Linked DNA regions of Callithrix jacchus. The protein of the gene in region 2 purifies or fractionates together with the protein of the main gene of each other region. This does not show direct contact. Links are inferred from orthologs where the notes say so. Each region holds a gene or a part of one and is shown on either strand. Other genes may lie near its edges. The genes, in order: GTF2H4 and CDK7.

The links.
Region 1: the proteins of CDK7 (region 2) and GTF2H4 purify together in Homo sapiens (affinity purification with mass spectrometry; 7 studies listed by BioGRID and IntAct, with this or other methods). This does not show direct contact. The link is inferred for Callithrix jacchus from reciprocal best matches to the Homo sapiens genes CDK7 and GTF2H4.

What each region holds. Positions count from the first base shown.
Region 1 is NC_133505.1:35,702,092-35,706,333, reverse strand, and holds the start of GTF2H4 (general transcription factor IIH subunit 4), read right to left. Parts: upstream 2,943-4,242; 5' UTR 2,753-2,942; coding exon 2,741-2,752; exon of another isoform or gene 2,603-2,740; intron 2,133-2,602; coding exon 1,993-2,132; intron 1,734-1,992; coding exon 1,629-1,733; intron 1,246-1,628; coding exon 1,114-1,245; intron 516-1,113; coding exon 419-515; intron 345-418; coding exon 256-344; intron 40-255; coding exon 1-39. UniProt on the Homo sapiens protein: Component of the general transcription and DNA repair factor IIH (TFIIH) core complex, which is involved in general and transcription-coupled nucleotide excision repair (NER) of damaged DNA and, when complexed to CAK, in RNA transcription by RNA polymerase II.
Region 2 is NC_133503.1:140,272,057-140,275,870, forward strand, and holds part of CDK7 (cyclin-dependent kinase 7), read right to left. Parts: intron 1,454-3,814; coding exon 1,304-1,453; intron 1-1,303. UniProt on the Homo sapiens protein: Serine/threonine kinase involved in cell cycle control and in RNA polymerase II-mediated RNA transcription. Cyclin-dependent kinases (CDKs) are activated by the binding to a cyclin and mediate the progression through the cell cycle.

The DNA.
Region 1 (4,242 bases), on a different chromosome or scaffold from region 2:
CCAGCAGAAGTAATGCAGGGTGGCTCTCCAGGTTCAGCACTAAGGACAAAGAGCAGGACGATGATGGTGATATGCAGAGAAAGGCTACTATACCCACTTGTCCACTCATGTTTTTTCTGGGTATCTCTGGCTATATTCTACTCAGCTTGCTTTTTCCAGACGATGTCCTCTGATCTTGACCAACCCGAGATACCATTTCTCAGAGACTCAAGGAGATGGCACAGCAGCAAACTGCTGTACCTCTAACTTCCTTACCTCTTCATGAGCCCAGCTTGGCTGAGGAGCTGAGCCAAGTCCTGGCTAACAGCTGCACTGGGGGAGCCCACCATGAAGTGCAAGACCACCTGAAGAACAGAAAGAACAGGGAGACCATGCCCCGAGGGCCATAGGAGGTAGAAGCTAAGTCCCAAGTGCTTACCTCCCATCGCTCTTCAGCGTACTTGTCAAGGGAGGGAACATCCCGGGCATGCTTGTCTGGTCCCAGCTGACTTGTGTCATCAGACCAGGCCTTCCCCCTAGAGCCAGGATGGGCCAAGAGTAAGGACCTCTGACCAGGCACGGTGGCTCACACCTGTAATCCATGTACTTTGGGAGGCCGAGGAGGCAGATCACTGAGGTCAGGAGTTCGAGACCAGCCTGGCCAACATGGTGAAGCCCCATCTCTACTAAAAATACAAAAAATTAGCCAGGCATGGTGGTGGGTGCCTGTAATCCCAGCTACTCAGGAGGCTGAGGCAGGAGAATATCTTGAACCCAGAAGGTGGAGATTGCAGTGAGCCAAGATTGTGACACTGCACTCCAGCCTGGGTGACAGAGCAAGACTCTATCTCAAAAAGAAACAAAACAAAACAAAAAAAGAGTAAGGAACTCTGTCTGTGTTCCTTGCTGTCCTTCTGCCATCTTTCCACCCTTATCCTCAGGGGCCATGACTGGGGGACATTGCCTACACAACACAGCTACATCTGGTCCAACTTATTCCTAAAGGAGCTCCCCAAGGTAGAGACCACAAGGTTCCAGGGAGGCCCCCATAAGCTCCCCCTCCCAAAGTTTAATAGCAGTTTAATTAGCAGCAGTTTCCCTTCCCTAGCTTAGGAAGAGATAGAAGTGACATACCCACCCAGAAGGGCAATGCGGAGGTTCTGACGGAAAATGGGGTTGAGGATAAGGCCCTGGAGCCCGCCTGGGAGCAGCTGGGTGTGCCAGATCCGGAGGCCACTCAGCAGCCCTGTACTTTCCTCCTGAGCCCTGGAATAGAAGCAAAGAGATGAGAGGGGGTGTCTGGAGAACAAAGAGAAGGCCCATAAAAGTTACCATTCCTGCCTGTTCTGAACTTGCTGATCTTTGAACTACTGTTTCACAGAGTGAAATCAGTATCTTAAGACAAATGCCTTTACTGCATTACCTATCAGAGCCTCATTGCTGATAACACACATAACTAAGAGGGAAGATACATTTGAAAACAAGAAGTCAGCTGGGAAATAAATAAAAGGGAAAACGCAGTATGCAGCATTTCCTAAATGTATTTATTTTTAAATTTTGTGATCTATTAATATTTCCTGGAAGTGCTCCAAGAAACAGCAGTTTGGGAAATGTTGCTGTTGAGAAATCTGTATCTGGCTGAGACTTACTTGCTGAATTCCTTCTTCACCCACAGGGCTACAGCAGCTTGTGGCAAAGGCTGCTCCAGAAAGAGCATCCGCATCACCCAGTTCTTAGCCAAGGATGGGAGCTCCCTGTATAGGGATAGAGGTCAAAGGTTAATTTCAGAAGCTGCACTGTATCTGCATCTCTGCCCTCAATTACCTCTCAAACATCTCATCTCACTCCACCACAGCTTTACCAGTCCTGCTATTTTGGCCTTCCACACTTTGGAGCAATTTTCAACCCTCACCCCCAGTCCCCACCCCCAATCCAGACTGCTATGCTTTTACTCATGATATTTATTTCCAATCTGCAGACCCCATTACATTTCCTTGCCATGGGGCTCCTCACCTGAAGACAGCCAGACAAGTGGCAGGGTGCCCATACAATCGGTCCAATACCCCAGGGCTCAGGCCCCCTAAGAATTCTTGTAAATTCCTGCATTGTAGGTGTACTCGGTTCAGTCCCCTTGAAGGGGTGCTCTCCATCACCTGAGGAATGCAAACGTCAGAGGCACACCCCCACCATCCATGCCAGTGTCACCCCTGACCTTTCTAACTCTGATTCCAGATCCATGAGCCCCCACAATAATCCCACCTTTTCTGTGGCTTACTTTCCCCTGTCACTTATCTCTAGTTTCTTCCAAATCTGACCAATCTCTCTCCGTTTCTGGTCTCCTCACCCTACTTCTGCCCTTCAACTCCAGTCTTCCCTCAATTACCAAGTGACAGACTTGCTAACTGTCCTATGTTTGCAAGATAATTTTGTATTCAATGACTTGTCTCATCTTTGGCTAAACAGGGACAAAGAAAATTGAGCCCACACCTCTCTCTTCCATCTCTCCTGGTCCAGATCAGTCAATAAGCTCCAAATCTGCCCGTCCTCCCTATCGTCTATCTCTTAGCCCACTTCTGCTATGACGATAACCTCTCCCCTTCACGCTTCCCAAATCTGAAGTCACCTCTTTTCCCTTCCCATTCACGCTGACCCACGCCTTCCGATCTCCTAGATTCTCCCTGCCTTCCTCCCACACCTCGCCTCTCACTCACCTCTCTCTCTCTCACAGCTATGCCACTCCCACCCTCCTAGGTCCCCTCACCACTCTGTCCATCCTCCTCGTGCACCCCGAGTCTCGGGCAGTCGCTTAATCGGAGCCAAAGTCTCTCATTGGCTCCCGGAGATTGAGGGAAAGATGGTTAAAAAAAAAAATGCCAGGGAAAGATGGGGAAAGCGACAAAAGATTTCACAGACAAGAGCCTAGAATGGAGAATTCAGAAGAGAAGGGAGGTAAGGGAAGGAGTGGAAGAGTGAAGAGGATGAGAATAGGCGCTGCACTCTCCCGGCGCGGGGTATGCTGGGAATTGGAGTCTTGTCTTTGCTCTCCTTGGAGCCGGCTGAAGCGCGTCTGACTACAAATCCCGAAAGGCACCGTTGGGAAGCCAAAAGGAGAGGAGCTGGCTTTTAATTTAGAGAGCGGGAGATACCAGAAGTCAGGCCAGTTGGTTCCGCGAAGGCAGAAGCAACTCCGCCCACGCTGCTAACGGCGCGTCTAACCGGCCTGAACAGGAGGCGGGTCCGGGGAAAATAGAAGTTCCTGGAGGGCTTCTTGGCGGAGGCGCGCCATGGCGACTTAGTGGTGAGCCGTTTAGGGGGTAGGGGCCACAAAACTGGATTCCGTGAGCACAATTACTCCCCGTAAAATTGAGATAATACACACTCCGGGACGGGCGCGGTGACTCACGCCTGTAATCCCAGCACTTTGGGAGGCCGAGACAGGCAAATCACCCGAGGTCAGGAGTTCGAGACCAGCCTTTACAACATTGTGAAAGTCTGTCTTTACTAAAAATACAAAAATTAGCCGGGTGTGGTGGCGGGCGCCTTTAATCCCAGCTACTCAGGAAGCTGAGGCAGGAGAATCGCTTGAACCTTAGAGGCGGAGGTTGCAGTGAGCCGAAATCGTGCCATTACACTCCAGTCTGGGCGACAAAAGCTAAAGTCAAAAAAAAAGAAGAAAGAAAGAAAGAAAAGAAAGAAAGAAAGAAAGAGAAAGAAAGAAAAAGAAAGAAAGAAAGAAAGAGAAAGAGAAGAAAGTATACACATTCTGGACGGTTTCCACAAGTTAACAACACCATCCAGTGCGCCTTACTTGGCCCTAAATACTCAATAATTCTTAATTTCTGCCTCTACCATGCCTAAAACCGTTTTCTTAGAAGACCCTGATAAATACAGTTTTTAAGACATCAGCTGTTTGCTCTGATTTGATTTATGAACCTGCTACAGAGAAAGACAGAGGTCTTCACCCAAAGCCAGAACTACACATTTCCCCAAATTTCTATAAGCAAATTCCATTATTCCCACTTTATAGACTGGAAGACCGGAGCCTGGCAAGATTAAGAATTGGCCTGCAGCCTGGTGAGGTGGCTCAGAGTCATGACTACTCAGCTACTCGGGAGGCTGAGGCGGGAGGATCACCTGAGACTAGGAGCTGGAGGCTACAGTGAGCTATGATTGCGCCAGCCTAGGCGACAGGGTGAGACCCCCATCTTTCTCTCACTCTCTCTCTCTCTCTCTGAAAAGGAGTCTCTCACTCTGTTGCCCAGG
Region 2 (3,814 bases):
ACAGTTGGATTTTTAAAGCATTACTTCTAAATCACAGTGGTCTTATATGCAAATTAGGCTAATTCTGGGCGACACGATAAAGATCTAAGAAAGTAACTCATTCCAACTTTAATAAAGACATCCATGATACAAAAACTCACTTTAAAAACTTCATCCTATTAAAATACAACCCAAATATAACAACTAGTATTTTTCTATAAGTTTCAAACTATACTCCCAATGAAAACAACTTACTAGATAATTAAATGTGGTCTCAGGTTTATTATGATGGAAATTATATACATAGAAGTATGAGCGAAAAGGCAACAAATTACTTGTCTTAAATTAGAAGAGCATGTGTACATATGGACATAAAAATAACAAAAATTTTTTTTAAAATTAGAAGAGTAATTCTAATGGTAAATACGCAGCATCCATCCATCCATCCATCCATCCATCCATCCATCCATCCATCCATCTATCCATTTCTATATACACATAGCATGTATTGCTAAAAAGAGAAGGCTTATACAAGCAAATGCATTAAACAATGATTTTGTAGCTGGAACAAACCTAAGGGGGGGGAATCTATTTTGTATCCTTAATATTACTGTACATTAATATGTTTCCATAAAGGCTTCTGATACTTCACTTTAGTCTCTCCCTTCATCAGGTAAAAATCACTGCACTGTGTTGTACAGTGCTCTGCTATAAGTTATTCTAGGCCCTCCAAATTTTTCATGAGTTTCATTGTTTTCTCCTTTAAATAGCAGTTGGTTTCAGTTTTTGAGTATCTTTCAAGCTCTTGTAAGCATACAATCATATCTGATTATACCATTTTCTGAATGTGAAAATGACCAGTATGCATACCCAGATTACATTATATAGGGAAGAAAAAATAAGCTGAATAAATTACTTTCAGCATTAGGCTTGCTACAAGATTGAAATGAATTTTTAAGAGTGCAACTGAAAAAATAAACAGTTTTCAGTTTCTTAACAAATAAAAAGCCTTGGTTTTCCTTTCCTCTCCAGGTAAAGTATTTACAAACCAATTATATGAAATAGATATGTATTTATATGTTCCTAAGCAAGTGTATTAAGTGTAAGCTCTCCTATATCTCTGTGTGCATATAACTTAATCTCAGTCTTAACAGTGTTTGCTGTTTGGGGAAAAAATACAAAGTTTGTTATTTCCTAAAACAAACAAAAACACATCTTTTCCAGTATTTAAAAAAGGTTAATTTTATGAAATTCTATTTTTATCAATGCTACAGTTAAGATTATTTTTATATTTCCTAGTATAAAAAAAGATACGGTAAAATACCTGTGTGGCCGTAATTCGAGCACATGGATTAAATAAGAATAAGCCTTGTATGAGATCTAATAAGTCGTCTCCTGCTGCACTGAAGATATGATGCAATGGAATTCCAGGAAAACTCTTAAATGTCACATAATCTGGAAGACTACACATGTCCTGTAAAAATAATTTTATAATTCAAACTGAAGGTTGAAATCCATGTAGATCTCAAATGAAATAAATCGTATTTTCAGGTGATATGATGGTTTATATAGAAAATTCCAAGAAATCTATTGAAAAGTCCTAGAACTACTAGTAAGGCAAGGCTGGAAGGATACAAAATGAAAATTAAACCAATTTTAATTCATTATACTAGCAATGAATGTGTGGACATCAAAATTAAAAACACAGTACTATTTAAAATTACCCCAAAAAGAAAAATAATACAGGTGAAAAATGTAACAAAACATGTATATAGGGTAATATACTAGAAGCTATACAATGCTAATGAAACAAATCCAAAGATCTCAATAAATGGTGAAACATACCACGTTCACATATTGGAATATTCAACAGAGGAAGGATGTTAATCCCCCTCAAATTGATTTGCAAGTTAGATGTAATTTTTATCAAAATCCTGGCAAAATTATTTTAGATATAAGACCAATTATTCTACAATATATAAAGGCAAAGGACTACAGTAGCTAAAATTATTTTGAAAAAGAACAAGAAAGTGGGAGGACTCATACCTGATTTCAAGATTTAACATATAGCTACTTTAATTAAGACTGTGTTGTACTGGGGGAGAAATAGATACACAAATCAGACTTAGAAAGGACTTAATCAATAAAGGAACCCAATAAAAAAGGACTTAGAAATCCACACAAATCTGCCAAAAGGATTTTTGAAAAAAGTGAAAAACTTACCTCTCAGAAGTATCTTTTTTTTTTTTTTAAATAAGAAAGAAAAGAAAAGAAAAAAGTGAAAACTAAATCAATGAAGAGACAGTCTTTTCAACAAATAGTGCTGGAGCACTTGGACATATACAGGCAAAAATCTGAACTTGGCTGGGTGTGGTGGTTCACGCTTGTATTCCCAGCAGTTTGGGAGTCTGAGGTGGGAGGGTCACTTGAGCTCAGGAGTTTGAGACCAGTCTGGACAAGAAAGTGAGACTCCCACTCCAGCCTGGGCAATGGAGTAAGACTGTCTCAAAAAATAAAAAACAAAAACAAAAAACCGAACCTTGCCCTAAGTCTCACACATCATGTAAAAATAAACTCTAAAGAGATCTTGGACTCAAGTGTAAAACTACAAAACTTGTAGAAAAAAACACAAAAAAATTGTCATGGCGGGGGTGCAGTGGCTCATTGCCTGTAATCCCAACATTTTGGGAGTCCAAAGCGGACAAATTGCTTGAGTTCACGAATTTGAGACTAGGCTGGGCAACATGCAGAAACCCTGTTTCTACAAAAAAATACAAAAACTAGTTGGGCATTGTGGTGCATGCCTACAGTTCCAGCTACTCAGGAGGCTGAGGTGGGAGAATGGCTTGAGCCTGGGAGGTGGAGATTACAGTGAGCCGAGATCATGCACACCACTGCACTCCAGCCTAGACAATAGAGCCAGATCTTGTTTCGGAAAAAAAAAAAAAAAAAGCAAGAAAAAAAGTGGCAAGAAAATCTTTGGGTTGGGCAAAGAGTTCTTTGACTTGACACCAAAAGGATTGATCAATTAAAGAAAAAGTGACAAACCTGATTACAATTTTGCAGAGGATGAAAAGGCAGCACGAGGGAAAACATCTGCAAACTACACACACTTTTTGGACTACTATCTAAAATATACGAAGAGCTCTCAATACTCAACAGTCAAAAATCAAAGAATCCAATCAGAAAATGGGGAAAAGACAGGAAGAGCCATTTAACTAAAGATGGCAAATAGACACATGAAAAGATAATTTAACACCATTAGCCATTATTAGGGCAGTGAAAATCAAAATCAGAATGAGCTATCATGACACACTCATCAGAGTGCCTACAATTAAAAAGTGAACACCAAATGCTGGAGAGGATTCTGAGAAACTGGAGCATTCATTTACTGCTAGTGGGAATATAAAACAGTATAGCTGCTCTGGAGTTTTGCAGGTTGTTTTAAAAATTAGTATGTAACTACCATATGAATCAAGAACTGAACTCCTGGGCAATTTATCCCAGAGACATAAAAACTTATTCTTACATAAAAAACTGTACATGAATGTTTATAGCGTATTTATTGATAATAGTCCCATTGGGAACAACACAAATACAGGTGTCCTTCAATGGGTGAATGGTTGAACAAACTGTGAAATAAATCCACGCAATACTAGCCAGTTAAAAAAAAGAGAGAATGAATTTCCATTATGTGGGTATGAAAAAGTTAATCCCAAAAAGTTATATACTATGTGATTCCATTTATCCATTTATGTAACAGTCTTGAAATGACAAAATTACAGAGCTAGAGGACAGATTTAGTGATTGCCAAGAGTTAAGGAGTGGGTAAGAG